Linked DNA regions of Danio rerio. The protein of the gene in region 1 interacts with the protein of each later gene in a pairwise test. Links are inferred from orthologs where the notes say so. Each region holds a gene or a part of one and is shown on either strand. Other genes may lie near its edges.

Evidence for each region.
Region 2: the proteins of si:dkeyp-20g2.1 (region 1) and nup62l interact in binary tests that used the Homo sapiens proteins (3 or more experiments, as listed by UniProt). The link is inferred for Danio rerio from reciprocal best matches to the Homo sapiens genes CCHCR1 and NUP62.
Region 3: the proteins of si:dkeyp-20g2.1 (region 1) and stx11b.1 interact in binary tests that used the Homo sapiens proteins (3 or more experiments, as listed by UniProt). The link is inferred for Danio rerio from reciprocal best matches to the Homo sapiens genes CCHCR1 and STX11.
Region 4: the proteins of si:dkeyp-20g2.1 (region 1) and kifc3 interact in binary tests that used the Homo sapiens proteins (3 or more experiments, as listed by UniProt). The link is inferred for Danio rerio from reciprocal best matches to the Homo sapiens genes CCHCR1 and KIFC3.
Region 5: the proteins of si:dkeyp-20g2.1 (region 1) and trim54 interact in binary tests that used the Homo sapiens proteins (3 or more experiments, as listed by UniProt). The link is inferred for Danio rerio from reciprocal best matches to the Homo sapiens genes CCHCR1 and TRIM54.
Region 6: the proteins of si:dkeyp-20g2.1 (region 1) and efhc2 interact in binary tests that used the Homo sapiens proteins (3 or more experiments, as listed by UniProt). The link is inferred for Danio rerio from reciprocal best matches to the Homo sapiens genes CCHCR1 and EFHC2.
Region 7: the proteins of si:dkeyp-20g2.1 (region 1) and rbm17 interact in binary tests that used the Homo sapiens proteins (3 or more experiments, as listed by UniProt). The link is inferred for Danio rerio from reciprocal best matches to the Homo sapiens genes CCHCR1 and RBM17.

Annotation. Positions count from the first base shown.
Region 1 is NC_133180.1:24,144,151-24,148,096, reverse strand, and holds part of si:dkeyp-20g2.1 (coiled-coil alpha-helical rod protein 1), read left to right. Parts: intron 1-163; coding exon 164-270; intron 271-463; coding exon 464-576; intron 577-659; coding exon 660-735; intron 736-3,516; coding exon 3,517-3,638; intron 3,639-3,713; coding exon 3,714-3,881; intron 3,882-3,946. UniProt on the Homo sapiens protein: May be a regulator of keratinocyte proliferation or differentiation.
Region 2 is NC_133189.1:11,201,109-11,205,054, forward strand, and holds part of nup62l (nucleoporin 62 like), read left to right. Parts: intron 1-876; coding exon 877-951; intron 952-1,045; coding exon 1,046-1,153; exon of another isoform or gene 1,154-1,175; intron 1,176-3,946. UniProt on the Homo sapiens protein: Essential component of the nuclear pore complex. The N-terminal is probably involved in nucleocytoplasmic transport.
Region 3 is NC_133195.1:29,251,810-29,256,467, reverse strand, and holds the start of stx11b.1 (syntaxin-11b.1), read right to left. Parts: upstream 2,986-4,658; 5' UTR 2,944-2,985; intron 1,459-2,943; 5' UTR 1,454-1,458; coding exon 566-1,453; 3' UTR 1-565. Other genes in the region: stx11b.2 (syntaxin-11b.2), read left to right, coding at 4,591-4,658. UniProt on the Homo sapiens protein: SNARE that acts to regulate protein transport between late endosomes and the trans-Golgi network.
Region 4 is NC_133193.1:48,507,585-48,512,012, reverse strand, and holds the start of kifc3 (kinesin-like protein KIFC3), read right to left. Parts: upstream 2,860-4,428; 5' UTR 1,985-2,859; coding exon 1,682-1,984; intron 1-1,681. UniProt on the Homo sapiens protein: Minus-end microtubule-dependent motor protein. Involved in apically targeted transport. Required for zonula adherens maintenance.
Region 5 is NC_133195.1:42,014,868-42,018,813, forward strand, and holds part of trim54 (tripartite motif-containing protein 54), read right to left. Parts: intron 1,785-3,946; coding exon 1,660-1,784; intron 1,409-1,659; coding exon 1,323-1,408; 3' UTR 1,305-1,322; intron 1-1,304. UniProt on the Homo sapiens protein: May bind and stabilize microtubules during myotubes formation.
Region 6 is NC_133184.1:35,458,722-35,462,667, reverse strand, and holds part of efhc2 (EF-hand domain-containing family member C2), read left to right. Parts: intron 1-626; coding exon 627-769; intron 770-857; coding exon 858-1,054; intron 1,055-1,190; coding exon 1,191-1,324; intron 1,325-3,883; coding exon 3,884-3,946. UniProt on the Homo sapiens protein: Microtubule inner protein (MIP) part of the dynein-decorated doublet microtubules (DMTs) in cilia axoneme, which is required for motile cilia beating.
Region 7 is NC_133179.1:26,162,726-26,166,671, forward strand, and holds part of rbm17 (splicing factor 45), read right to left. Parts: intron 3,864-3,946; coding exon 3,747-3,863; intron 2,529-3,746; coding exon 2,362-2,528; intron 1,591-2,361; coding exon 1,469-1,590; intron 1-1,468. UniProt on the Homo sapiens protein: Splice factor that binds to the single-stranded 3'AG at the exon/intron border and promotes its utilization in the second catalytic step. Involved in the regulation of alternative splicing and the utilization of cryptic splice sites.

The DNA.
Region 1 (3,946 bases):
GATCTGCTGTTTTAGCATTATATCGCTCGTCTGTGATTACTCACTGCATGCAGAACAGCTGATCAGCTGTGTAGCAGTGACAGCACTGAAACTTCTCTTCTGTAGCGCCTACAGGCAAGTGTGTGTTTCTGACAGCCGCGTGCTTCTCTGTATGCATGTTCAGGGAATACAGCAGCAGTTGGAGAGTGTTCTGCTGGAGAACATTCAGCTGAAGGAGCGCAATAAGAGCAGCGAGGCATCACTGAATCATATCAGTGAAACAGCACACAGGTAACACACACACACAATCACACCCCTTGAGCCAAACCTTGAATCTGTAGTCTCTTTGAATTAAACAAGTCTCCTGAATACCAACATGAGCGTCCTGATTAGATTAAAGATGACTGTTCCCCTGAAGTCAGCTCATCCATAAACATCTGTCTCTCTCTCTGTGTTATCTTTCTCTCTCGGCCTCTCTCATCAGAGTGATGTCAGCCGTGGAATTAAAGGCAGGTCAGATGGAAGCAGTTCAGTCCAGTGTAAGTCAGCTGAACCACAGACTCGCCTTTGCCGCCAAGCGTCTGGACACAGTACATGGTGAGCGTGTCATCTGTGTCAGTGTGTGTGTGTGTGTGTGTGTAAGTGTGTTGCACTTTTAATAACTTGTTGTTTGTCTGCAGGGCTGCTGTTGAGAAAAGAAGCTCTGTGGAGAACCAAGCAAGCTACAAGATGTCCAGAGCCTGCAGTGTTGGAGAGGTACAGAATAGTGACATTAAAAATCATAGTTAACATTGTGGTGTTTGATTTTGCAGTGACCTCTTTATAAGTAATTATCAGATTATGAGATATTGAGGTTAATAATCTTGAGAGTAATATTAATAAATTTATTTTAAATGTAATGAGTGAGTTTAGATGTTATCTCACAATAAATATATTATTATTATTATTATTATTATTATTATTATTATTAGTGGTGTAACAGAAAACAAATCTCACAGTTCGAATCACACGATAATTTTTCGGATTACCAAAAAAGGGAAGAGACAAATGTCATTTGCTTTTTATTCATACATAAATATTGCTGCAAAATCCATTGCTTTTTACAAACAGAACTGAGAACCTGTAATTAATAAAAAATAAAAAGCTAGAAAAATAGTAAAATATTCAATATAAAAAAATGGTCTTTGCTACGGTTGCTGATAATGCTAAATTTAGCAGTCTAGCATCTTGTACAACATATATTTATTTTCTATAATTCAATCATTTTCTTTTTGGCTTAGTCTCATTTTTTAATCTGGGGTCATTGCAGCGGGAAGAACCGCCAACTTATCCAGCACATGTTTTATGCAGCAGATGCACTTTCATGCTGCAACCTATTACTGGGAAACACCGATACACTTTCATTCACACACATACACTACGGAAAAGTTCACCTGAACCACATGCCTTTGGACTGGGGGAAACCGGAGCACCCGGAGGAAACCCATGTGAACACAGGGAGAACATGCAAACTACACACAGTAATGTCAACTGACCCAGCCGAGGCTTGAACCAGCAACCTTCTTGCTGTGTGGCGACCGCACTACCTACTGCTCGACTGCGTCATCTTATATTCAATTAATGATTCAACAATTCACACATAAAACTTCGTTTAATTATAGGTGGATCATTTTTAAGAACCCATTCAGTGACATCATTTTAATTGTTGTTTGTCACCTCCCATTAGTTACGCAATGTAATTGCTACAACATTCACCAGCTTCAAGTTCCGTTACACAGTGATTTAATTCTTTACGGTAAAAATCTGTGGTAATATCTGAACTATAAATAGTTAAACTGTATTAACTAACTGAAAAAAGTTTAAAAACTGAATCTCTCAATCAAGCGTAGATTTTAATGCATTAATAAACATGCAAATCATCATTATTATTGTTGCACGGGTTTGAATTAAGATTACAATTTTTTAATGATTGACAATGCAACTTTACACTGAATGCATTAATACAGGCTTAACAAACAGTGACAAAAAATATTTTTTAAATGCTTTCATGCACTTCAAGGACGCAGGAAGCGATCTTTCTGCAATTGTTATAAATGTTGGATTAAACTACAAGTTCCAAAAAGTTAATATTCCTTGGGTCACATGCATTCCAAACTGTGGGTTGTGGTCCGTACACACCTTATTTGCATTTTCAAATCAATCAAAAATATTATCAGGTTTAAAAAAAAAAGTTATGGTTATCAAGGGCCAAGCTGCGAAGCTGTGAAAGCACCTATTGTTATTCTTCCGGTTCCTATTCTTCTTCTTCTTGTTCTTCTGCCGAGATTTGAATGGTAGTCTATATAGGCTTTTGTTCAAAAGTTATGAAATATGGCACACTTATAGAAGACAAGCTCAATATTAATCGTAGCAAATTTGGACCATCTAACTCAAACTTTCCAGCACCACCACTTGTTCAAAACTGCAATGCTAATAACTTTTAAACCGTAAGCTGCAGAATCAACATACAAATTTACCCTGAATGCTTGACTTATTGCAATCCAAATTTCAAAAATAGGGTTTAGTTTTTTTCTATCTTTTAATAGTTTGTAGAACCTTTGTTTTCGAACGCGTGCTAGACGGTTTGTTAAATTTTCACCAAAATTGGCCCAGATCATCACTAGATCATGCTGGCAAAAAGTTATGGAATTCAAGACGATAACTTAAATTGTTGCTGAATAATGTGCAATTCAATTTGTCAAAATGACATGCCAAATCATACTCAAGGCAACATCTCGACAATGCTTAACTCTAAGTTTGGTGTGTGTTATGACAACTATGATCTGAGGTTGCCTGCACAGTTTCGTTGCAGTTCCACCTAGTGGTTTGGAGATATGAAAAACAGCTACTTTTGCTTGTATCTCGTGAATGCTCTCACCAAATTTCACAACATTACATTCAGAGTGACATTCTGAGTTGGATGATGTTAAATTTCCCCATGTTTGCCATTTGGTGTCACCATTTTGAATTTTGTTGAAAAATGCTATATTTTACGAATGCATTGAGGTGTTGTCACAATCTTCAACACAATTCTTGCTGTGAGGCGAACGTGCTAACCATTGTGCCACCGTGCAGCGTGCTCTTGATATATTCCTTGGATAATTTAGCATAAATTGATACCAAATTTTCCATACTTGGTGAAACTTCCTGTTTGCCATTTTAAATTTCGCTTGAAAATGCTATTTTTCTTAACTCCTACTACACTGTTGGGCCGATTTTTCACTAAATTTAACTCAGATCATCTTTATTATTGTTATTATATATTAATAATAACAAAAAAAAACAGATAATTAACTACTTAGATTTGTAATGAACATTTTAGTACAACTACTAAATTAGGTTATATAGGTCACCAATAATACATATACCTAAGATTAACCATATAGGAAAATAGGGGACAAGAATGTAGTATACAACAGTTTTTCATCTCATAGCTTGACATACAATTTCAAGCACTGCACTGTTATTTAATATGGCCATCATTCTTTTGTGTTGCAGCTTTATTAATAGTCTCAAAGCTGAGGTGGAGATGTTGAGCACAGAGAGGGACACGCTCGCACAGGAGCTCAAACGAACACCAGAGCTCATTCAGGCCTCGCTTTCTGAGCTACAGCAGCAGCGTACGTACACGAAACCCCAAGCCGAATACTGAACATCTGCAGAATGTAAAAAAGAGATGTGATTCCGTGTTGCAGGAGACAGAGATCTGAGCCACCTAAGGGAAGCTCTGTCACACAGCAGGGAGGAGCTGGAGGCATCAGAATCAAGCCGAATGGAGACACTGAGGCACTGTGAAGAACAAGAGGGGACCATCGCGGAGCTCCGCACTGAGGCCCAGAGACTCCAGCAGCAGTGTGACTCAGGTGTGTGTGAAGAACAGCTTCCCCTCCCCCCCGCTGAAAGCATTTGGTATTCACTTCACAGATTC
Region 2 (3,946 bases), on another chromosome or scaffold:
ATGGGCACCCCTGGTTTAGATGCATGTCACCGATGAGAAGATGATTGATATTTACTGTACAATGACCGAAATGGCCTTAAACACCCAGCAGGCACAAGACGTCGACATGCCGTCAGATTGAAATTGTGCCCTAACGTCGTGGAAACGTTGCATTTTGTTTGGGAATGAATATCAGGTTTACATCAGAGCTCAACGTCAGTGTCCAACCTAAAACCAACCAAATAATAACGTCAAATAATGTTACAGCTTGACGTTGTGTCGACGTTACTACTATGACATCTATCAGACGTTGAATTTTGGTTTCTTGCCATAACTGATGAATAAATTTCAGTATTTGACATTAATAGGATGTTGGTTTAAGATGTTGGCTCGGCATTGGATTTTGGTCACTTTCTAACAACCTAAAATCAACCAAATATCAACGTCATTTGATGTCATTATTGGACATCCAAATAACGTTGTCCTTATGACGCTGGCTAGACATTGAATTTTGGTCACCTGACATCACAACCTAAATCTAACCTAATATTAACATCTTATGACATTGTGTTACTAATGGGCAATGACTAAATGCACTACAGAATGTTACATTTACACACACATCCACAAATGACATGTAAATGCATCAACTTTTAACAGCATAATACTCACTACTCTTGAGTACTTTTAAAAGGGCTACTTTTTACTCCTACTTTTAGTATAATTTACAACAGGTACTTTTACTCTACTCACACTACATTTTTAGCCAAGTAATGGTACTTTTACTTAAATATGCTTTTTCAGTACTCTTTCCACCACTGGGTACTATATAATATAAAATTGTGCTTTTTTTTTCTTGAATATTTATTCCGGTATTCATTTGCTTTTGATTTATAGGTCTGTCTCTTGGTGCTCCTACTGCTGCCTCCATTGCTTCCACAACTGCTATTAATTTTGGAATTAAAACTTCAGGCATGTACAATTGTTTCTATTGCAATTATTATAATTAATAAAATTTAAAAAAATTTTTAAATGGTTGTATAACATGTTTTTTTTTCTTGTTTAGCTACTCCAGCCCCAGCCAGCACTGCGCTATCTAGTCAATCCTCGACAGCTCCAGTGTCCTCTCTGTTTGCTAATCCTATAGCCTCAACTCCAGTCACAGGATTCACATGTGAGTTCCTATTCCAGCTCTTGTCATAAAGAAAATTATTGTTCAGTCATTTTCCCAATCAAACCTGCATGTAAACTGCATAGTTATACACATAGATCACACATGTGATTGTGTACATATCAGGCAGTTATTACTTGAGGATTACTTGATTACTCATGAAATATGGTCTGATCTTTTTACACATCACATTTATAAAGCACTTACCAAATTGCTTACTGACAGTGCAGGTGGGAAAAAGTGAAACTGACTTCTCTAAAAGTTAACTGTAGGACTGCAGGCGCCCTCTAGTGTCTTGCTTAACTTATTTTGGCAGATCCAAAAGAGAACTGTGCTATCAGGAAATAATGATCAACTGCAATAGATTTGTGTCACAGGATGGTCAAATGTAGGACAAAGGCCTTATTAGGACCTAAAGAAAAGATTTGTTGGCGGGTTTAAAGCTAAAAGCTGATATAAACGATCCTCTCTCATGATTCTGTATAATCAAAACATGGTTATTAACAAGCATAAGGTTAATAATGATTACAATGTTAATAGAACTAAGGGCTGCTTATGGGAAAAATCATAATCACGATTATTTTGGTCATAATTGTAATCACGATTATTCAAAACGATTATCAGTTGAAGTCAAAATTCTTCATCCTCCTGTGAATTTATTTTTATATATAAATATTTCCCAAATGATGTTTAACAGAGGGGTTTTTACAGGATTTCCTATGAATTTTTCTTCTTCTGGAGTAGGGTTGTAACAATATACCGGTATGACGGTTTACCACGATTTGAACGTGCACGATTATCATACCATGAACAATTGCATATCAACGGTTTTAACCCTTAAAGACCGAGACAGCCGCCCGTGGCAAAAAATAAGTATTGCTCTTAAATGTTTAATAACTTTTGATCCACTGATCCGATTCATACAATTCAAAGATTGGCATAAAGAAGAGAATCTCAGCTTTCCAGTGCTGTATCACATAACATTCGCGGACTTTCAGAGGCTCCGGAATCAGTGCGGTTACGTCATCAACATTTGACAACGCTGATTTGACAAAGAAACGCTCGTCACTGTGTCTCCGGACAAACCAGACATGATACATTGATGCATTATCCCTCCTCCATGCCCAGATTGGTTCAAACTCGCTATATCACAACCAATAAGCATAGGTTTCGCTTTTGTTTGTGGACCAAAAACGAGCTTTTTGAACAACACGGAATGAAAGAAAGGCATACATTTTTGCGCGGCTAAATAAAACGCAAAAAAAAAAAGTTTTGCATGAAATAATTCTCATACTAAGTACTTTTGCATGCACAGCAGCACAGAAACATGACAAAACAGTGACACAGCAAAGACGAAGTGCTGCTCTTGCTGTTTTCAAAAGACGCAAATGAAGATGCAGCTGTTTGTCTGCATTGCAGACAACCAAATCCATATCCACAGACAACCATATCCATGCTGGCACATAAAACCTAAGGATGTTCCATATTGAATCTAGTTTCGTTATGTAACTATTTATAGTATAGTAAACATTTATATCTATTTTTTACTGAGGATTTGCACCATGTTTATTTGGACTTTATTTGGACTTTGACACATTATTTATTGTTTTCTTATTTTTTTATTTGTTCATTGCAAGTGGTGTTTATAGTAACTAAAAATATATTATTTGGAAAAAGTCAAATTTGCTTCACTGTTCTATTATTTTGTAACATTTGTAACATACCGTATACCGCGAAACCGTCAAACCGTGGTATTGTTTTAGACGATTATCATACCGTGAAAAATTCATACCGTTACAACCCTATTCTGGAGAAAGGCTTATTTGTTTTATTTCAGCTAGAATAAAAGCAGGTTTGAATATTTTGAAACCTATAATAGCTCGATATTATTAGCCCCTTTAAGCAATATATATGTTTGATTGTCTGCAGAAGAAACTACTGTTATACAATGACTTATCTATTTACCCTAATTAAGCCTTTGAATGTCACTGAATACTAGTATCTTGAAGAATATCTATAAATATGTGTAAAATATTATGTGCTGTCATCATAGCAAAGATAAAAGTAATCAGTTTTTAGAAATGAGTTATTAAATGTGTTGTTTAAACTGTGCTTTAAGCATCTTCACTGTATTTTTGATTTTATTATTGATTAATAATAAAAACAGTCGGCAGCAGCAGGAATATCGCACACTGTCTTTTTAAGAATAGTGCGGCTCATGGGTTTCTCTTTCATGTGTCTTTTGATTCTCAACTTGTTAGTTTATTACACACATGGGGGTTAATATAAATAATCAATAAACACCACGCTCTGACACAAATGTGCATGTATTTGACCATTAAAGCGCTCACATTAAGCTCGCGTTAGATGTGTGTGTGCTCTGCTGTCCGAGGCTAAGCGCGGCGCGGCGAGCGCGCAAACAAACACACATGCTACCTGTCCGAGGCCAGACACAGCGCGCACACACACAACAGCACGTGCTCTTTTGTAGTTTTAAAATTATGAATGATGCGCATCTCGTGCTGCAAAAGTTACATTAGAGCACATGCTTTTAGTCATTATCACGTGGAACTTAGCTTTGCAGAGGCAGAGTTTTCACACGTGTACAACTGTAAAGGGGGCGGTACGTGATGGAATAATCGTTTATCTCGATTAATGATTTTTCATAATCGTTAAAAGCCAAAATCAAAATCGGATTTTCGATTAATTGCACAGCCCTAATAGAACTTTCCTACGGTGGTCTGATTCAGCTATGCAAGTTATTGATGGGCTGAATGATATGACCTAATATTCAAA
Region 3 (4,658 bases), on another chromosome or scaffold:
TTTATTTAGCTGATATTTTTCTAATAAACTTGCAGAGAAACTGATTGCCAAAACAAACAAAATATGATAAACATGCTTTGCAAATATGGCAAGACATGACAAATTCTTCATATTCCGGATTAATGTAAGTGCATGTTCAGTTAGATTAATAAGAATCTCACATATAATAATAAATTATAGCCTATGAATATCCCACACAATATCTAGTCAAATATCAGATTTAATTCTCCATTGCTTTTGTTGACCTCAAACACTTAAATGTGATTTACCATTTTTACAGTTTGTATCAGTCTGCAAAAGGAAAAGAAGACAAGTAGTGAGGACTAAATGTTGTATAGTTGTAGAGAACGTCATTTCATTTTTTTCAGTTGTGTGTTAGGTGTTTAATGTACTCTTAGCACGACTGCTGTTCACTTCAAGAGTAGCCTATCAAACAGTTCTTTATAGACCAAAGCTTTGCGTCAGAAATCTGTGATCTTTTTCATTACACATCTCTTTCTTTTCATTTTTAAATGACACTCAAAGGTCATCAGAAGCTCAGGTCCACAAGTCTGTTTACATTCACTCAGATTTTAGCACAAGGAAAGCATCCACAGAACATTTTCTTGAAGGGGTTGTTATTATCATGTCTTTTGGCCTGTGCCAGTTTGATAAGCACTTCCCCAAGCACAGCATCAGTTTTCTGCACATTGTTTAAGATGTAGTCTGTCATGGGTCCTTGCTCCTCCACAAGCATCGCCACATCCAGGAAGACTTCATGAAGGCTGTTGAGTCGGTTTTCCAGCTCCAGCAGTTCCCGATGTCGATGCTCGATCTGGTTGAGTGCAGAGCGAGCTGTTTTGCCCTCTGACATGATGTTATCGTTAAAGACGTTCCACTCACCGTTCTCCAGCATCTCCTCTATCTGGTCACCTGACACCTCTCGACCGACGATCTCCATTTGTCGTTGAATGTGACGCTTGCATGATTCCTTGTGATTCATCTCAGCATCATTGTACTCGGTCATTGCATCTTGGAAGTTGTTGCTCAGGGTGGCATACTGTGTTCGGGCGATTCTGGCTACTGCTGAGTTGATGCCATGCTCCTCTTGCAGCTCTTTGGCGTGGGCGTCCATCTTTTGTAGACGTGCCAAAACGTCCACCCCACGGGTCTTGATGTCACCTGCGATGGCATTGGCGTCACGCTTTACATAACTTGTACGTGTCGGTTCGTTGAGTATTCGTGTGTTTTGGTCCCTGAGCCGCTTGACCTCGAGGCGGATGAGCTGAATCTCACGTCTGGTGTCTTGAGCCTCGTCAAGCACAGACTCCATATCTTCACCATTGTCAAAAATGACAGCCTGCTGGCTGAAGTTCTCCTCCAGATCCACATTGCTGAAAGAGTCAGATTCTACCTCCTCTAGATGACTGTCGGTCTCTGAGATGGTCAGAAGATGATTTAGTCGGTCCCTCATGATTGCTATAAGAAAGAATGAAGAGCAAAGGACATTAAGTATGGGTTCATCTTGACAGGGTTGGTTTGATGTAAAGAAACTCTGCTCTAGTTAATATCAATAAGTGTGAACACAAAAAAACAGAACAAAACGCAGCAACAATCAATGAGACCCCTGAAATAGTGAGTTTCAGATTGTGTTCAAGTTGGTACACTCTTAAAAATAATAAACAGAATTAAAAATAATTCTGAATAATTTCAGAAGGAGGTTTTTGCCCTGCAACCATTATTTTTGGTTCCTAAAAAGAACCTTTCAGTAAACAATTCTTAAAATATTTTTTTTTCTTATTGTTAATAACATTTTTAAAATCTTTAGTATTTTTTACTACAAATAATGCTTTTATTAAAGATTATTTGTGAAACCAGCCATACAAACTCATTTTTTTTTTGTTTTATTTAAAAGTGTAGTTTGCTTGTCTTGATTAATTTATTCTGGACCACCAAAAAGTAAATAACAATTTTAGTTCTGGTTCTCTTTACACTCATTCAATAGACACAAAAATATATAAAATTGGGATTTTATAATTTGCAATATTATTTTCCCTCAAGCTGTCCTTGTTTTTAGGCATTGTGGAACAAAAATACCTTCTGACTGTAAAAGGCAGATAACACTTCCTTATCTACCACGAAAAAGTCACAAGTCTAACAAGTTTATCCGTGAAACTATTTCTGACTGGCGTCACTCACCAAACAAGTTTGAATGGATTGAATTGATACTTCAGCTTTTGTTTCTGTAAAGATAATATGCTCTTTAGTTATTTGTATTTTACTGCAAAGCGTATTAAAAAGAGATAATATATATATATATATATATATATATAAGACTTTATTTGAGTCACTAAAGCTTTAGCTACAGATAAACATGTGGCACACTTCTAAATTATTTAATTTTGGATTGTTGGGTTACTTTTGAAACATTTGATAGAGCTGAAATTTAAATTTATAATGAAGATGTCATTTAACAAATTTTGGAAAAAATAAATTAAGGACAAAATACGTTCGCAAGTTAACATATTAAAGTAATAGACAGAAATATTTATTATAAACAAAGTTAAGCAAGTATATTTAGCATATTGTGTTACTTTTAAACCATCCATGTGTTACTTTTGTCTCTACTGATGGGGTCAAAAGAAACAATGTGCAATTTATGCTAAAAGTGAAAATAAGTTGTTCTACATTTGTACAAAAATACCACCTGATCACGACAGACCACTCTTGTGAGTTAGTAACCATAGCAAGAAATATTTCTGTCTAAAATAATATCTTTTAAAATGAGTTTTTTATGAACAATTAAATGTTGTTTTGTTTCATCTCTTGCCTACTCTTTTAGACATGCTGACAACATTATAATGAATTTATTAGCCTAATAATGAACAATTGCCCATAAAAACATAATGTAGAGCTGAAATGTGAAAAGCAAAGTCCCATGTCATCTACAAAAAAGTCCATTACCTTATGTTTTTGTCCAAATGATTTGCAGTTTGAATTAAGTCGACATGTCATGTCAGTACTACAGCTCCATCCTCTCTGCAGTGAGGCGGCTGATGTCCTCCTCTCCCAAGTGGGGGGGTGAAGGAATGCGCGGTGCAGGGCGTAACTTTGACGCCAAACCTGTTCGCTGAATAGTCTTCAGACGTGCGTTTCGTTACTTTTGACATCATCTCTGTTTTAAGAAATTCCTCAGCGGTCAGATGATCTTCTTCGTGTCTTCCATGTCTTTTCACTAGCCTGCGTTTAAGTAAAACTATGCAGTAGTCTAGGCCTCAGAGCTATGATGATGATGATGTGTATATACGTTGTTTATAGGCTAGAATAAGAGAAGACAACTTTAAAATATGATTAAGCATCTGATATTGTTCCTTGAGGCGCACTTGTGTTGTTCGTGGTCAGATTAGAGACCAATCATGTAATTATTATTACTGTTATTATAATAATTATTTAAATAATTGTTTTGCATTATATTTGAATTTTTTTTATAATTATCTTTTGAGAATTGTTTTCTCTTACAATTATCCTAACGCAATATTAAAATGTAAAAAATGAGGAAACCGAACCGAATAATTACAGAAGCTTTTGTAAACCCAAAAGCTGGTCCAAAATGATTTAGAGACACCAGAGTTTAATCAGCCAGTGAGTGTATAAATAATATTATTCGTGAATTGCATAATTAAAAAAAAAAAAAGAAATGCTGTAATGAAGTAGTCGAGGGTTTTTTGCTTGGGGTCTAGAGATCCCAAGAAGGCGCAAGAGTGTTGGAATTATTTAGAGAAAATGCATAGGCCTACAAAATGTGTAACTAACAAATATAATTTATTATGATCATGTTTAAGGCGTTCGTGGTAACTAAACAGTTGAAAAAGCCTTTGGGACAGTTCTGTGTTTAGGCTCTACTTTGCTCGGTTCTCCCCTGGCCCCGCATTTCTTCTGCCCTCTGTCGGACACATTGGTCATCACTGCACACCTGATATAAGGCGGAGTCTATGACATCATCCTCACTCGTGCATCGCTGGCTGCAGAGGTGAAGTCCTGTTACGTTAAATGCATTTGTTATTTTCACGGACGGATTGGCTTTTGTATTAAGCTGATTTTAGGAGGAAGGGACAGAGAAGGATATAATTTGAGGTAGGCCACAGTCATAGTAATGCTTGAAAAATTTGTGTTATTCCAAGTGGCAAATAGTTTCATTAATAAGAGTCATTTTATACATTGAGCTAATATTACAATTGCACGATTTGGGATTGATTATAATTTTCTGTAATCCGTTCTGTTTTTAATGAATCTATATATCTAAAGACCATACAACGCACTCCTGATCAAGTAGTAAAACAATGATGAAGCGCACTGTAAGAGAAAGAGTTAAAAAAAAGCTTATATTTTTAAAACGTGTTCGTAGAAACTGGTCTTTCTTGTCTGGCAGGTACACGGGCACGTAGATTACGTCAGACGCTTTGACGGGCAGGTTATTCTGTTTACAAGGGCTGTTTGTTGGGCCCATATAGTGTACTTTAGTAACTGCAGTCCATGTATATAACTATGCTGCATATATAATGAATTCTTAGATAAAATACGTTTTGTATCTTTCAGTCAACTACTTCAGCTATGAGGGACAGACTTGGCCACCTCCAGGAAGTTTCAATGTCTAATGGGACAGTTGCAGAGCATGAAAC
Region 4 (4,428 bases), on another chromosome or scaffold:
ATTAAAGGGGACAGAGAGCTCTCTGATTAACCCACTGCTTGCGTAACCACTCAGGATTTGATCTGCTAAAACGATCCATCAGACTGCAGAGAACATTAGAAATGGGACATTGGGAGGATAAACATGATTCCAGGTAAATGAAAATCCCTGTGTGTATTATGCAGAAAGAACATTTACAAAATGTTCCCATAGTGAATTACTCCCACCAGAAGCAGCTGATCACAGAAATTCTGGATAAGGATGAAAAGTCGAGAAAAACGCACTTGATTGATTAAAATAGCTCCAGTAGACTTGATGAAATTCACACACTCAGAAAAGGAATATGTTCAACTTAAAGCCGTCTAAGGTTTCTTCAAATCAATAATACAACGCACATAAATAATGAGAAGAAATCAATGAATAAATAATTGCATTTTGGATTAAATGGAGGTTTTCCAGTAGCAGAGAGACTCATCAGTTACACTCTTCCAGCTTGAGGACTGATCGGTCAAAAACAACACTTAATTCCCTGCAGAATCTACAGTAACATACTGGCAGCAATTTACCAGTAACTTACTGTAAATCAAGTACAGCAAATAGACTGTATTTACATTTACAGCACCATTTATCTTGTATTTACAGATATGTATGTATAATAGTTTTGGGTCAATAGGCAATGCCATCGTCGATCGACAAAGGCCGAGAAACATCCTCTGCCCCGCCCCCGTCGCTAGAATTACACACTCAGGCCCCATTTAGACCAATACATCTTAGTATTAAAATGGCATTTTAGAACGAAAACGATCCACATCCACTGGCGTTTTATCTAGCACTTCTGAAAACATACTGCTGAACACACATGGCATGTGCTGCAGCATTTGCGCACGTCTGAGCTCTAGGCAGTCAGTGGGTGCTTTGAGCACAAAATCCCAGAGAGCAGTGCACTTTGGACAATTTATTAAAGATGTACCGCTGGATTGCATCTTATAGATGTTAAACTTGATATTTAATTAATCTTGTCTCTATCTAACGACTCCTCTGTCTTTTGAATCTATCAGGTAACACAGCGTCAGTACACTGCTTCAGTCTTTCGCTTTCACGCTTGTACTTTTAGTAAATTGTAATTCTAGCTTAAACCTCAGATACTGTTGGATGGTTCCTGTTGGTTGTGCACCTTTTTTTTTACCAACCAAGTTTTTCGACGCCATTATAATGACACAGATCACTCTGCCTATTCATGCCAGAATCCCGCAAAAAAAAATATTGACCGGTTGGTCATTTATGTGTAATTTATCTTTATTCATTTATGATTTGGTTATGTATAAAACAAAGACTATGCAGGTCAGGTAGTCGCAACGGGTGGCTACAAATTATTAATTTGTTATGAATAAATAAATGATTCACTGATGCCATCGTCCATCACGATGTTTCACATTAGACATCGTACGATGCCAAATCGGTCAACATCGCCCAACCCTAATGTAAATCTTTACTGTAGAATATACACTAATTTTCACAATGCAGCATTAAAATACAGTAACATACTGCATGAGTGTCCTACAGTAAAATACAGTTCACATTACAGCTAAATACTGTGTAATTTACAAAAATCGTTAACAGTGAACATTAAACTGGATGGCTGCAATGCAAACAGCCTTCAACTAACAACTTTCTTTACTTTAACCTCCATGTTCACGCTCACCTGTGCTATCTTCCTCCTCTCCAGCACATTATCCTGATGAACAGATCTTCTTTTACTCGCTCTGCTGCTGAATCCGTCAAGGCATCTATCAACGTCACTCTGCCCATGCACTCTTGAAGTCTCTAGTGGTCCAGAACTTCCAGGAATGTGGTGTTTGTTTCTCTTCTTGCGTCCGTGTTTGCCTACATCTGGTTTGTGCTTCTCTGGGCTTTCGATAGCTTTGGGTTCAACGGGATCCAGGACTCGGGGTCTCCTAAACAGGTTGTGAAGAGACAGCAGCACCAAGGTGCACAGAACATACATGCTGGCTTGACTACTGGAGACGTCTCCACACACACATTTAGACGGAGTATCCTTTAAAAGCGATTCTGGATGATCCCATTTCAGGGTGAGCGCAAGCACTGAACACTATCTTCTGGTTAAAGTTACAGTCGTAATATAAACTCTTCCGAATTGCGCAGCAATGAGCTTTATCGGTCGACGTGAAGGTGATCAGCCAGTTTAGAATCAAGTATTGTTGAGTTCTTGCATGTCTTCCCACCACTGTTTTCACTCAAACAACAACTCCTGGAAGGTAAGACCGTGTTATTCCAACACCTTCGAGCTCCAGAACTCTCACTTAGGCTTGATAATCTGTCTGTGATCTGATCAGCAAATGAGATGGCTTTCTCATCTCCCAATCTCGTTCAAGAGAGAATGAGGGAGGGACGACTACCGCACATCTGCTTTTAAACCCCACAAAGCCATTTTAACCTACCTGGACACGTCTATAAAGATATCGCCTGATAAACAATGTAAGCCAACAGCATGATAAATGCTTCTTTAATCAGGATACATAATATTTAGGTGCTTATCTTCCCCATCTGCACGCCTCTTCTTTGGAGATCTTCCAGAAGATTACAGGTGTATTCCAGTGAAATTCGATCGAAAGAGTAACCATGAAACTCTCAGTCGTAATCTCCATTGGCACTTTGACAAATCATCACCTCCACTTGCGTCAGTAATGGTTTTATTGTATTTTTACAGTCACTGGATTGCAGGACAAAACTCACAGGTCAGACCACTCCTTTCATAATGCCTTGTTTTGATAGTCTTTATCCCCGTTTTTAGGTCCAAATGACTGGGCAAACTCCAACCATTCATAACCCATCCAACTCCTGCGATGCTGGTGTAGTCCTATAACTCCGAGAGAGAAAATGCTTTTCACTCTTTCGCCCTCCCTTTTCTCATTGTGTCCATCTGTCACTGCAGTCGGACAGCTAAGCGTCTCTTAGCCGATGATGTAACAACAGTGTTTGCATCTATGCAAAATAAGGAAAATCAACTCAAAACATGTTTTAAATGCACTGCTGAGGATAAAGAAGCTGGTCTGTGATTGGTCGCCTCCGTGGTAAGATGACCCTGTTGAACTGCGTCCTACAAAGCCATCCATCATGCTCCTGCTGTGTGACAATGGATAGAACATAATATGGAAACAGACAACTATGGGAATGTGGCGCAGTGAGACCTGACAGTGCCAATCTAGAGTGATCAATTAGGATTCGGGGACATAGAAGATCGGCGCTGTCTTGTGCTGGTACTTCAGGGGGGAAAAATTGAATCATGTTTGAAGTGTGTGCGCAAGACAAACAAAAGGCCATCTTCTGGTTCATTACCCTTTTTAGGGGCCGTTCACATGCTTCAGACCAAGGGAAAACAACAAGAGTGCCTGTTCGAACCAAATTAACCAGTATAGAAGTAAGTGCTCAAACTAAAGTGGCAGGGCTGGGCAAATCTACAAACAGAAAACTACAAACAAACAACAATTTTTTTTATATACAGTTGAAATCAGAATTATTAGCCCCCCTGAATTATTAACCTCCCTGTTTTATTATTATTATTATTGATTATTATTATTTTTTATTTGTTTATTTTATTTTTTAAACATAATAGGTTTAAGAACTCATTTTTAATAACTGATTTATTTTATCCTTGTCATGAAGACAGTAAATAATATTTGACTAGATATTTTTAAAGACACTTCTAAACAGCTTAGTGACATTTAAAGGCTTAACTAGGTTAATTACAGTAGGTTAACTACGCAGGTTAGAGTAATTAGGAAAGTTATTGTATAACGATGGTTTGTTCTGTAGACTATCGGAAAAAATAGCTTAAAGGGGCTAATAATTTTGTCCTTAAATTGGTAGTTAAAAAATTAATAACTGCTTTTATTCTAGCCGAAAATAAGACTCTCAAAAAGACAAAATATTATCAGACATACTGTGAAAATGTCTTTGCTTTGTTAAACATCATTTTGGAAATATTTAAAAAAGAAAAAAAACATCAACAAGGGCTAATAATTCTGACTTCAACTGTATATAAGACAATACCAAAATGATGATACAAGTTGAATATTCTCTTCTTCAAAGGGGGCCTCTTACACTCATTTAAACAAGATGTAAAATAAGTCCCTATAGTGTTTGTGTGTGTGTGTGTGTGTGTGTGTGTGTGTGTGTGTGTGTGTGTGTGTGTGTGTGTTTGTGAAGTATCAGCTGAAAATACCACAAAAATAATTTTTTATAATGCTTTGAAACAGCAAGTTTAAGGCTGTGATCCAAATTGTGTCGTTTTGGTGACTGTCGCTTTAAATTCAAATGAGAATGGCGGACGGCTGCTTCTCACTCAAAGCTGTTTATGCTAATGAGGGAGAAATTTCTCTAATGGGCGGGGCTTTTCCAATCCAATGGCACGTACAAAGGCAGAATGTC
Region 5 (3,946 bases), on another chromosome or scaffold:
GCTAGCATTTTACCTAGACAGTATTTTCTGTGGGAGAAACGCTTAATAATTCATTGTCTGTGACTTGTTTGTGTTCTGACCACATGTGCTTGGTTGTACACTAAATCAATAAACTGTTTAGACATTTAAAAACACTGTTGTAATACACTGAGCCACTAAGCATTGTTCTTATGACATTTTCTACAGGAGGAAACCCCAAATTACTTCCAAACACTTCAAATATAGTCTATGTTAGTAAATGCAAAGCTATTGATGAAATCCAGGCATAACAGTATTACAGTGTTTCAATTGACTGTTTTAGAGCCTACAGCTAATCAATCTGTCTGATTCTGGAGTGCATTACAGGTCTAAAGAAAATATAAATGATGAATGATCTTAAATAAAACCGATACATTTATAGAGATGGTATATAAGTATATAATTTGACCCACTTGGGAAATGGAGGCCATGTGAAGTGAGCACAATTAAGTGCACACAGCATGCCATATCATCTGATTATTGTAAGAAATAATTCCAAAAAGCAACTCACTGTGTAAAGCCACATAAAACAAAACAAAACTACTATGTATATGCCAAGTTCAGCGGCTAATCAGCCGGAATCAGCTGAGGTGAAGTGATGGCAACCAGCGAGACCTGAATTATGCAGACTTAATATAACTCAGTGTAAATTAAATGGGTGACTTATAAAAAATTCACCTCCTCACAGTTGTCATGAAGGGTAATATTAGCTATATGAATCAAAAATTGTTCTTTGTACCAGGCTGTAAACCCCTTTTTCTGCTGTAAAGTTGGCCATTTTAACATTGGGCTTAATAGAAATTTATTCTATTGTGGAGCCAGGCCTAGAAGAATTTCGATGAATTGCAGTTTCATCTACTTCTGTATTTGCTTCACGAGATGTTGCCGCTTGGTTTATAAAAGAGATTTTTGCACAATAGGTCTCCTTTAAAGGATTTCTCTTTCATGTATCAATATGGCGATATAAATCTTCCATGAACAGTTTCTGCTTGTCTTAAATCTTTTTTAGAACTTTAACAAGAGGCAATTAAGTCATAACTAATGTTAACTGTCATTGAAAAAAGTTATCAATTTGTGGAGCTTTCTGGATTTTAAGAAGCTTTGGAAATGAAAGATATAAAACAGGAAATACATAAAGACTTATTGTTTATATCCCTCAAAATGGTCTAAACAATGATGGCCAATGAGCTCTAAAAAAGAAAGTTATACAAATGTTAAGTAACAAACTATTGACCAGCCAATATTAAGGTCAACTACCATTTTACAGATGCATCTTTGAAACTAACCTTGGGTTTAAACATAAGTTAGCGCGTCCCTGATTCACCACTTTGACCAGTTGAGGTAGTCAGGCCTTCAGGAGCTTCATCACCACTGTCTTCCTCATCTTTACCTGAAAGAAACATACATTGCAATGTAATCAGACATCACAGCTGTGCTCTGTAAAAAATGCTGGCTTCCACACAACCGATTTGTGTTGGGAGAATATGAAGGAATTGAGTTAACTTATTTGTTTTTGTGTAGAATGAACATAAAACAATAAAATTGTTCCCAAAAACCCCTAAAGAATTGTTGTTTCAGCACAATTGAAATAAGTAGTTTGAACAAACAGCAAATGTCATTGTTTGAGTGTGAAGCTGTTACCTGTCCGGAAGTTGATATGTCTCAGCATGTTGGCCACATCCTCCGTGTTGATGATGAAGTGGGCCATGCTCTCGTAACCCACCTCCGTCCGCTCAATGTTGGAGGCCTTGGCTGTGTCTGTGATCCTGTCAAGGACAGAGCGGTGAAGTCGCGTCGGACAAATATAAAAGTGACGGATAGCATAAGGTCCCAGTTCCTCCATCTCCCTGCGGCTGCTGGTGACGCAGGTGCTCCAGGCTCCACACCACCTCTCCGCAGGTGGAGAAGAGTATGAAACAGAAGACACAGCTAGACAGTGTTGAGAGCGTAAGCATTTTTCTAAACGCTCATAGAGGTTTTGGGAAAAACTGTAATGAATAACTCACTGCAAGTTATGATATACCAACAAGAGTGAATGGAAGATACTAAAAGTTAAAGGGATAGTTTACCCAAAAAGGAAAATTCTGTCATCATTTACTCTCGAGTTTTGTGTTCTGTTGAACACAAAAGAAAATATTTTGAAGAAAGCTGGAAACCTTTAAACGTTTACTTCCATAGTATTTGTTTTTCAACTACAGAAGTTGATGGTTACAGGTTTTCAGCTTTCTGTGAAAAATCTTCTTTTGGGTTCAGCAGAAGAAAGAATAATAGAACTTATATTAATGATAGAAAATAATAATAAAACTTGAGGGTGAGTAGCTAATGAGTACTTTTTTTTTAGGGTTACTATTTCATAGCTTTCGAAACATACTCCCATCAACCACTTCATAGATTGTGATCCTTACTGATATGAAAGTATCCCACAGTTACTGCAGATTTGATATCCATTATGCAAATATCTCAATCCCCCACTTCCCAAATTGGTTTAAGAGGTTCAAGAACTCACTTTGAGGTTATTTGAGCGTAGTGGCATGGTGCATTATGTTGCTGGAAAAAGCCATCACAAGATAGGGCCATGATGGTCATAAAGGGATGGACCTGGTAAGCAACAGCACTCAGGCTGTGGCATTTAAATGATTCTCTTTTGCACTAAGGGGCACAGTCAGTGCCAGAAAAATGTCCTATACACCACTGTGCCACTACAGACTGAACTGTTGATCCAAGGCATAATGGATCTTTGCTTTCTCTTAGACCAAATTCTGGGTAGACCATCCGATAAGTTCAGAACAAACTCTCATCAAACCATTCTTTTCACAATCTTCTATCTTCCAATTTAGTTGTGTCATTTAAACTATAGGCTTTGCTGTTCTCAGCTGATATTAGTGTCACCTGAGTTTTCTGCTGTAGCTCATCTGCTTCAAGGTTTGATGTGTACTGTTTTTAGAGAGGCTCTTCTGCAGACCATTGTAACAAGTGGTTACTTCAAATTCTATTAGCTCAAACCCCTTCTATTCTCATCTATAATCAATACAGCAGGGAAAATAAATATTGAACACGTTACAGTTTTTTCCCATAAAACACTCTAAAGGTGCTGTTGACTTGAAATTTTCACAGAGTGTTGGCAACAACCAAAGAAATCCATATATGCGAAGAAAAAAAATCTAATTAATTTATAAATTAAGTTATTCACAATAAAAATTAAATGACGCAGGGTAAAAGTATTGAACACATGAAGAAATGGAGGAGTAGAAAGGCAGTGAAGGTTCAGACAGCAGCTGAAATCTCTCAGTAGTTCTTCAGCAACCCTCTGCCCTTCATCATTGTAGCCTTTATCAAAAAAGCCTCTTACATAAAGTATTAAATGCGTTTTAGTAGTTCAGTACTTTCTCCTTGCGTTATTTCATTGTTATTACACATAAGTAATGTTTTAGTTTTACATTTTTTTATGTTTGTATTGTTTTGGTTTTTACCAAAATCTAATCCAATTTTAGCTCCTTTAGAAATATTAGTTCCCAGAAAAAACAACATGTTCAATATTTATTTCCCCTACTGTATCTACTGCTCACTGTATTCACTTCAATCACCTTTCTTACCTATTCAGCTGCTTGTTTAAAACTCAGCAAATTACCTTGACTATGTCCACATGCCCAAATTCACTTAGTTGCTACCATGGGATTGGCTGATTAAATATTTGTGTCAGTGTCTTTAGAGGGTTAGCTCACCCATAAATTAAAATTCTGTTTTTATTTACACCTTCGTCATTCCAACCTATGTTCATCTTCAGAACACAAATACGATATTTAGATAAAAGTCTAGAGCTCTCTGACCCTCCATAGAGAGCAACAGTCCAAAGTCATTCAAAAGAAAAGGAACCAAAAACTGTTAAAACATTCCATGTGGCCACAAAATACCAATTTCAAACTCCAAA
Region 6 (3,946 bases), on another chromosome or scaffold:
CACAAATCAGGCACAAACGAATGACACTAGTTTGGTGTGATTTCGAGAAAATGGGGTGGAGAGTGATGCCACGGCTCCCGAAATATTGTTTATATCTAAACGAGACAAACAGATATAGTGTTTGTTTTAACGGCACAAATCCAGCACAAACAACCTGTGCTGATTTGAAGTGATTTGAGCAAGATGGGGTGGAAAGTGACATTGAACGGTCAAAAGAAATAATGATTAATATCTCAGACCCCAAACCAACACAAACATTAATTCTTGCACAAATATAGCACAAACGAATGGCATAGTTTTGGGGATTATTTGTTTTTATGGGGTGCCAACTTCATGGAGGTCAATTTGATTTGATAAAAAAACGAAATTATATGCACGAATAAATATTTTTCATTTTTGGGTGAACTTACCCTTTATTGAATGTCTAAATCTCCTAATGTTCACATTATTAGATAATAAAATAAGAACATTTGAATGAGATCTGCTAATCAGCTCAAACAAACTGTGCAATAGGCGAAATATTCTCCAACATGGCCCTGAAAAAAATCCAATAAACGTAATGAATCATTTAATTTCATTATGTTTACTCGTAATGATCTTATGCCAGTTATTGTTCTCAATGTAAGGCAAGGTCTGGTGAGCAACGTGCTGAGATTTGTGGGGAAAATGCTGACAGACAGTCCTGTCGACAAGGAACGTGTTTTTATCATATGCTTCTACCTTACTGATGACACAATAGCTGTCTTTGAACCTCCACAGAGAAACTCAGGTATTGTCAGCCTATTCATATAAATTCAGTTTAGGAAAATAAACATTTCAATTTTACTGTATGTTTTTATATTGCTCTTGTGATGAAGGTGTGATCGGGGGTAAGTTCTTAGAGAGGGGGCGAGTGAAGAAGCCAGGACAGGAGCTGTTTAAAAGTGAGATGTCGGAGTATTTCACTGCTCAGGATTTGTATGTTGGAGCTCATCTGCTTCTGAACAGTCAACCTTTCCAGCTGGTGGATGCTGACGATTTTACATTCAGCTATATGGAGCAGCATGCAGATGAGGTAACACACAAAAACCATCTCGTTGCTTCAATTTTCAGCCTGTTTTAATTAATGTTGCTGAGCAAAATATCAAGATATATGTCTCTATATAGAATCTCCATTAAAAGTCCTTCACCTATTTTTCTCAATTATTTAGTTCCCCAAGGCCAACATTGGCACCATCATTAGCAAGGTAAAATCCATCAGTGAGGAACAGCAGAAGAAAGTAAAACAGTTTTTCACCATGAGTGACCCAAGCAGCACTGGCTCTCTTCCATATGAGTCATTCAGGTAAGGAGCTGGCCAAAAATACACAAATAAAAGACACATTACATCTTGTTCCCGCCTGCCATATATTATATAGATATACCGAGTGAGATTCTGGATCAGTTTCACTGATTGTGAGATTTAATTATGGGCAATGTTATTTGCAGAAGTTTTCTTTAAAGGGGTTGGTGCAACAGACCTGCAGGGAAAAAATGTTGAGATTACATTTGAGTTAAGCCGCAAACATTTAGATGACCAGCAGGTTTTGTGCATTTGTGATCCACATACAGTACCCGCTGTCAGATTTAAAGCACTAAAACCAGCAAACAGTGTAAAACGGGTTGACATGATTGATGTATAGAGGACAGGGATATTAACACTCAGAAAATAGAGATAGAAATTAAGAGCAATAAAATGTGACAAGTTCAGTTGGTCTAACATGTTTTATAAGCTTTTCTCAAGCTATGAACTGATAAAAACACAATGAGCAATTGAATGCTAATTGCACTGACCAAACAGAACCAAATTACTAATGTAAACACTTTCATTACTACATTACATCATTACTACATAAGCTTTAAGTACAAAGCTGGTAAAATGAAATGCAGAAAAAGCCTTGTTTTTGTGATCTAGGTGGGTGTTAATGGGATGTGACATCACGTGAAAACTCTGAACAGAACTGACAGGAAAAATCAAGGACAAGTCATGCCAGGTTAAGCATGGATTATGTTTAGAAATAAGTGAACTCTATAGTTAATACATTACTACTGGGTATTTTAAGTTACAAAACAACAAGTTGCTTTAATTAAATTACTTAAAAATTAACTCGTCACTGAAAAACTACAGTAACGAATTAGGTGATTTAATTAGTTACTTGCAGTATTCATTCATTAATTAATTTTCTGTTCGGCTTAGTCCCTTTATTAATCAGGGGTCGCCTCAGCGGACTGAACCACCAATTTATCCAGCATGTGTTTTACGCAGCTGATGCCCTTCCAGCTGCAACCCATCACCGGAAAACTTATATAGTTTAGTAAATACTGAAAATACAGTTGAAGTCAGAATTATTAGCAATAATTCAGTTTTTGGTGTACTATCCCTTTAATCACTGTCATGTAATGTTTCAAAGACACATGCATATACAGTTGAAGTCAGAATTATTAAACCCCCTGAATTATTAGCCCCCCTGTTTATTTTTTCCCCAATTTCTGTTCAATAGAGGGATGATTTTTTAACACATTTCTTAACATAATAGTTTTAGTAACTGATCTCTAATTACTGATTTATTTTATCTTTGTCATGATGACATTAAATATTTTACTAGATATCTTTCAAGACACTTCCATACAGCTTAAAGTGACATTTAAAAGCTTAACTAAGTTAATTAGATAAACTAGGCAGGTTACAGTAATTAGGCAAGTTATTGTATAATGCAGAGGTGTCAAATCCAGTTCTTGGAAGGCCGCAGCCATGCATAATTTAATTCCAACTTTGCTTCAACACACTTACCTGTATAGGTTTTAATCAAGCCTAAAGGACTCAGTTAGTTTGATCAGGTGTTTGATTAAGGATTGGCACTAAAATGTGCAAAGCTGCGGCCCTCTAGGAACTGGATTTGATGTGGTATAATGGTTTGTTCTGTAGACTATAGAAAAATATATAGCTTAAAGGGGCTAGTAATTTTGACCCTAAAATGGTTCATAACAAATTTAAACTGCTTTTATTCGAGCAGAAAAAATATTATCAGGCCTACTGTGAAAATTTACTTGCTGTGTTAAACATAATTTGGGAAATATTTTAAAAGAAACAAAATTCAAAATGGGGCTAATAATTCTGACTTTAACTGTACATTCAGGAGTTCTGTAAGTCAGTTCAGAAAAGCAGATTATTTGTATTTTGCTATATTAATAGATTTTGCATATTAATTATATTTTAAACTAAAGGTTATGCTTATTAATACAGCTGCATTCTTAAAAAACACTGATTTGAGTCAGAAAACAGTTCAGGAAAATATATAAATTCAGAAAAGCAGAATAATACATATTCCAATTTTTTTATTTATTTTTTTATTTTTACAAATTTCAATTTTCAAATTTTCCCTATTTAGGTATTTTGTAAAAAATAATTATTTTTCAGCTATAGAAAGCTACATTTGTCAGACAATTACACATGCTGAAGAAACAATTAAAATGTTAATAAAATATATTGCGTGTACTCTATGAAAGCAGATGTCTGAAACAATTCGAAATACTTTTGTAATTCTGATTACTAAAGAATGTGATGCTTTTTATTAAAATGCTTAAGCCTTTCATGTTTTTATTAAGCGAAAAGAATGAAGTTATTTTTATTCTATATGAATTGAGTTTTTTTTATTCAGTCATTTAATTCTTTATTTAGTAATTAAATTACTTATCAGACATAGTAATTAGAAATGTTATTCAAATACAATTTAAATAATGTAATAGCTGCCAATTATTTACTTTTTTAATTTAACAAACATATCACTGTTTTGTCACAGAAAAAGCTGTGGGTTACCTCTTCAGTTTGAGACAGTGATTGAGTAAATGTCTGTGTGGTTTCCAGGACTCTGTTGGCAGATTTGGACGTGGAGTTGTCCGAACATGAGATCATGACACTGGGTCGTGT
Region 7 (3,946 bases), on another chromosome or scaffold:
GGTCATTTTAATACAGCATATTATTAATGAAATCCAAAATTTACAGTGTAATATTGAGAGTTATTCTTAGCTATCTCACGGCCCACCTGCAGGATCGCTGATGCCCACTAGTGGGCCGCGGCTTACCTTTTGAGAATCCCTGCTCGAGGCCAAATAACCTCTACCACCGGGCCATAGACCGCACCCAAATTTAACCCAAAAGCAGCAAAGTGAGTAAGAAACAAACATCTGTGGAAAGTTTCTTTGCTAAGTGGAAAAGGCCCAGTGATGGACCCGCAATCTGCCAAAGCATAAATCCGCAACCCATTTGTTAACAAATCAGGTGATTCCAGCATCTTTGTGTAAGAAGATCAACTGATGCACATCACAAATGATGGTGGCCTTTTTGGAGTCGTTCGCATATTGCATCTTTTCTAGAGTTTGAGCACGGTCATTGTCCCCAAAGGAGGTGCGTAGCTTGCGCGCACAAGCAGCATGACGCGCTTACGCCTTCAAGATGCACTTAGTTGAATGAATGCCGCGAGTCACATGATAAGAATTGACTGATCAGCTTCAGCTTGTAAGGAATATACACATTTCGGTAGACTAATTATCTCAGACAAATACAGAACACTCAAACACCCAAATGATTTGTCAGCTTGTCATATTCTGAGAAAACAGTTGATAGCAAGCTACGAACCACCATGCCCAATAGGCCCAAGTCTATTCATCGTTTAATTTTTTTGTTTTTAAACTCTAGAGGCTCTCTAGGCTAGATTTTAACAGCAGATGGCGCTCTAGGCTAGAAGCTAATGACACTCTAGGCTGGTTTTTAACAGCAGATGGTGCTCTAGGCTAAAATTATTTTGCTTTAGGCAACAGGTTAATGAAATGTATATTCTATACATTTCAGTTATAACAGTAAGCTAGTTAGTCAAATGCAAAACGCTGTAACGTTTTTCTTTTATTCATAAACAAAACCGGTATCTGAGCTACAGCTGGGGCATAGACTGGGGTCTGTTGAAGTGGTTCACTGGAGAGTGTGGTTGATGGTTGCTTAGCAATGGCAGACACCACGGATGCACGATTTAAACTATGAGATCCTGATAACTTGAAAATGTGTCAGATCACATTCACGCCTTAAAGGATTTGTTCACCCAAAATGTAAATTCTAGATAAAATATATAAATAAATAAAATGCTTTTCGATGTATTCCGCATCAGAGGAGAGTGTGTGTTTACTATGGGCAATACAATGGGTATAACGCGCATTTATGAAATAATCTGATTTGTTTATAAAGCGGACTGAGACCACCTCTTCAGCTGGACCCCAGTTTGCCCAAAATATCTGCAAATATCTGTGTAAACGATCTTTCGTTTAATTTAATCAATTCAATTAAGATGTCAAAATATGTCAACATTTTGATTTCTCAGTTTTATGACCCCTTTAAAAGTGAGACTGAAGAGCAACAAAGAAAAGCTGCACGTACTCCTCTTTCTCTTTTCCCTCTCATAGTCCTCCTCCTCATCTGATTCGCCTTCTGTTGGAAAGCGTGAGAATCCACTTGGAGCTCCACCACCACCTCCTCCTTCGTGCCTCTCCTTACGTTTCCTATTTAACAGAGGCAAAATCATCAAAACAAAAACAAAGCAGATCCGGTACATTTTCATGTCAACCTGTACTACAGAGCTCGATAGCATTCATATGACTATATAAAACTAGTGGCTACAGGTCTGGCAATAAAATAAAAGTAATAAAATAGTAATAAAAGCTATTCTTTCTTGATGTAGTAAATGAGTAAATGAGAAATATCAGTAGCCATATTTCCATCCATTTTTTTTACATTTTGGACGATTGCATTAAAAAATGGCGAAATGCATCAACAATGCAACAGAATTACAGGGACAGGACAAAAAAAACACATAATAAATATATTTTAAAAATAGTAGTAAGTAGTGAATGCAAATATACAAATTGACAAGTGTAGGTACAGGTATATTACTATATACAATGTTACATGTGCAGCTGTTATGTGCAAATTGGCATGTAAATATGTTGTTAAATAAGTGTATATGTGTATAAAAAGTGCATAGCAAGTAGTGATGTTTGTTTCTCATTTACTATCATAAGGTGTTCATGAGATGGATTGCCTAAGGGAAGAAACTGTTTCTGTGTCAGGCTGTTTATCAGGAAGTTATGATTTTGTTCATTCTCACTCACTGGATGAAAACTAAGTTTTAATCACAAATGTTTTATGCAATATTACAGGTTTGTGAGAAAAAAAGTCTAATTCCCATCTTTAGATGGAAACATGGCTAATGTGCAAAAAAAATAGGCATCGCATACGTTCTTGAAGTGTATGTTAATTTTTTGGATATTTACTTCTCTCTCTCCTCAATCTCCTTCTGTCGCTCTTGTTCTCTCTGTTTTTGTCGTTCCTCTCTGTGTCTCTTCAGCACTTTCTCATAGTCATTGGGAAACATGGGATCATATTCATCAGCCAAGGGAATCAGCACATCTCCTGAAGAAAACCCTCCTGATGATGAGTCCTAGAACAGACACACGAAGTAAAAACAAAACAAAAAAAGCAGCTCAAATTAGTGTACATCTGCAAACAAACAGAGCATTTCAGATAAATGAACACATAAATCAGGGGCGTCAAACACAATTATTGAAGGGCTTCAGCCCTGCGGAGTTTAGTTCCAGTCGTTATCAAGCAAACCTAAAACACTCAATTAGTTTGATCAGGTGTGTTTAATTAGGGTTGGAACTAAACTGTGCAGAGCTGCAGCCCTTTAGAACCTGACTTTTGCCTCAGTCACAATAGAGTTTGAGCCTGCGAAATTCTGCTGAATTCTGAAATGGGGCGGGATAAACAGGATGAATGGACATTAAGAAAAGGAAGCTATTGATCCATATTTTAAATTCTCTCCATTTCTTCAAAGAGAGGTCATGTTTTGATCTTCAATTGGTCTCACGCAGTCACGTGATGCGATTTTACCAAGCTTGAACTTTGCAACGCAGAGAACTGCGAAACACAAGCTTGCATTACCAGTTTGCCGCATTCGCATGCAGACAATCCACGAAGTCTATGGTGCAATGTGCCCATGGCTTTAGACACCTGGTACATAAATAAACATTTTTGCTTTTTTGGGGATATGATTTTAGTATATATGTGCCATATTTCAGGTGGAGGCATCAATTCATCAGTGAGACAATGTTTGCTTCAGTGATTGAAAATGTTAATCAAAATGCACAATTTTTAAAATGTACAATTTTCGTATTCATGTAATATATCAAAAAATTATTGTGCGTGTGTGCTTTTGTTACATTTATATAGAGACAAATATTTTATCATCAAAACAACAATGACTGGGTAAAGTGTTTTTGACATACTAGTAAAATTGACAGTTGTTAGGCTACTGTTGCTTAATACAGCATTGTGTCATTTTAGCCAATCAGTGTGAACATGAATCATTTTGAGAACGTTATCAATAAAAAAAACTCAAACGGCAGATTTCTTAGTGTTTAGTGCATTGCTGTTGTGGATCTTGATGTAAAAATTAATTACCAAATTAAAACCAGTGTGATTTAATTTATTTCATGTAATGCATTGATTACTGTCGTCATTATTAAATTCTGCTTAAATGCTTTCCCATAGTAATATTAGATTTTTTAAATAATTTTAATTAGTAGCAATCTTACTACTACTTATACTTATTTTTATATACTCTATTTTTCCTAAATAGGATCTAGACACGGTTTACCTTCATCCCTGCAGCAATGTGCGGAGGAGTATCAGAGATCTGTCTGTCATCCCCTCCACTTCCCCTCTTCAGATCAATAACTGGAGCAAGAACATTGGACTGTCTCGTCCTCTGGGTCTGCAAAACAAGTCATTTGTCAATAAAACTTTTCGGTTATAACACCTATTGGTTTCACTTGTCTTAATTAATCCTTGTGCAGA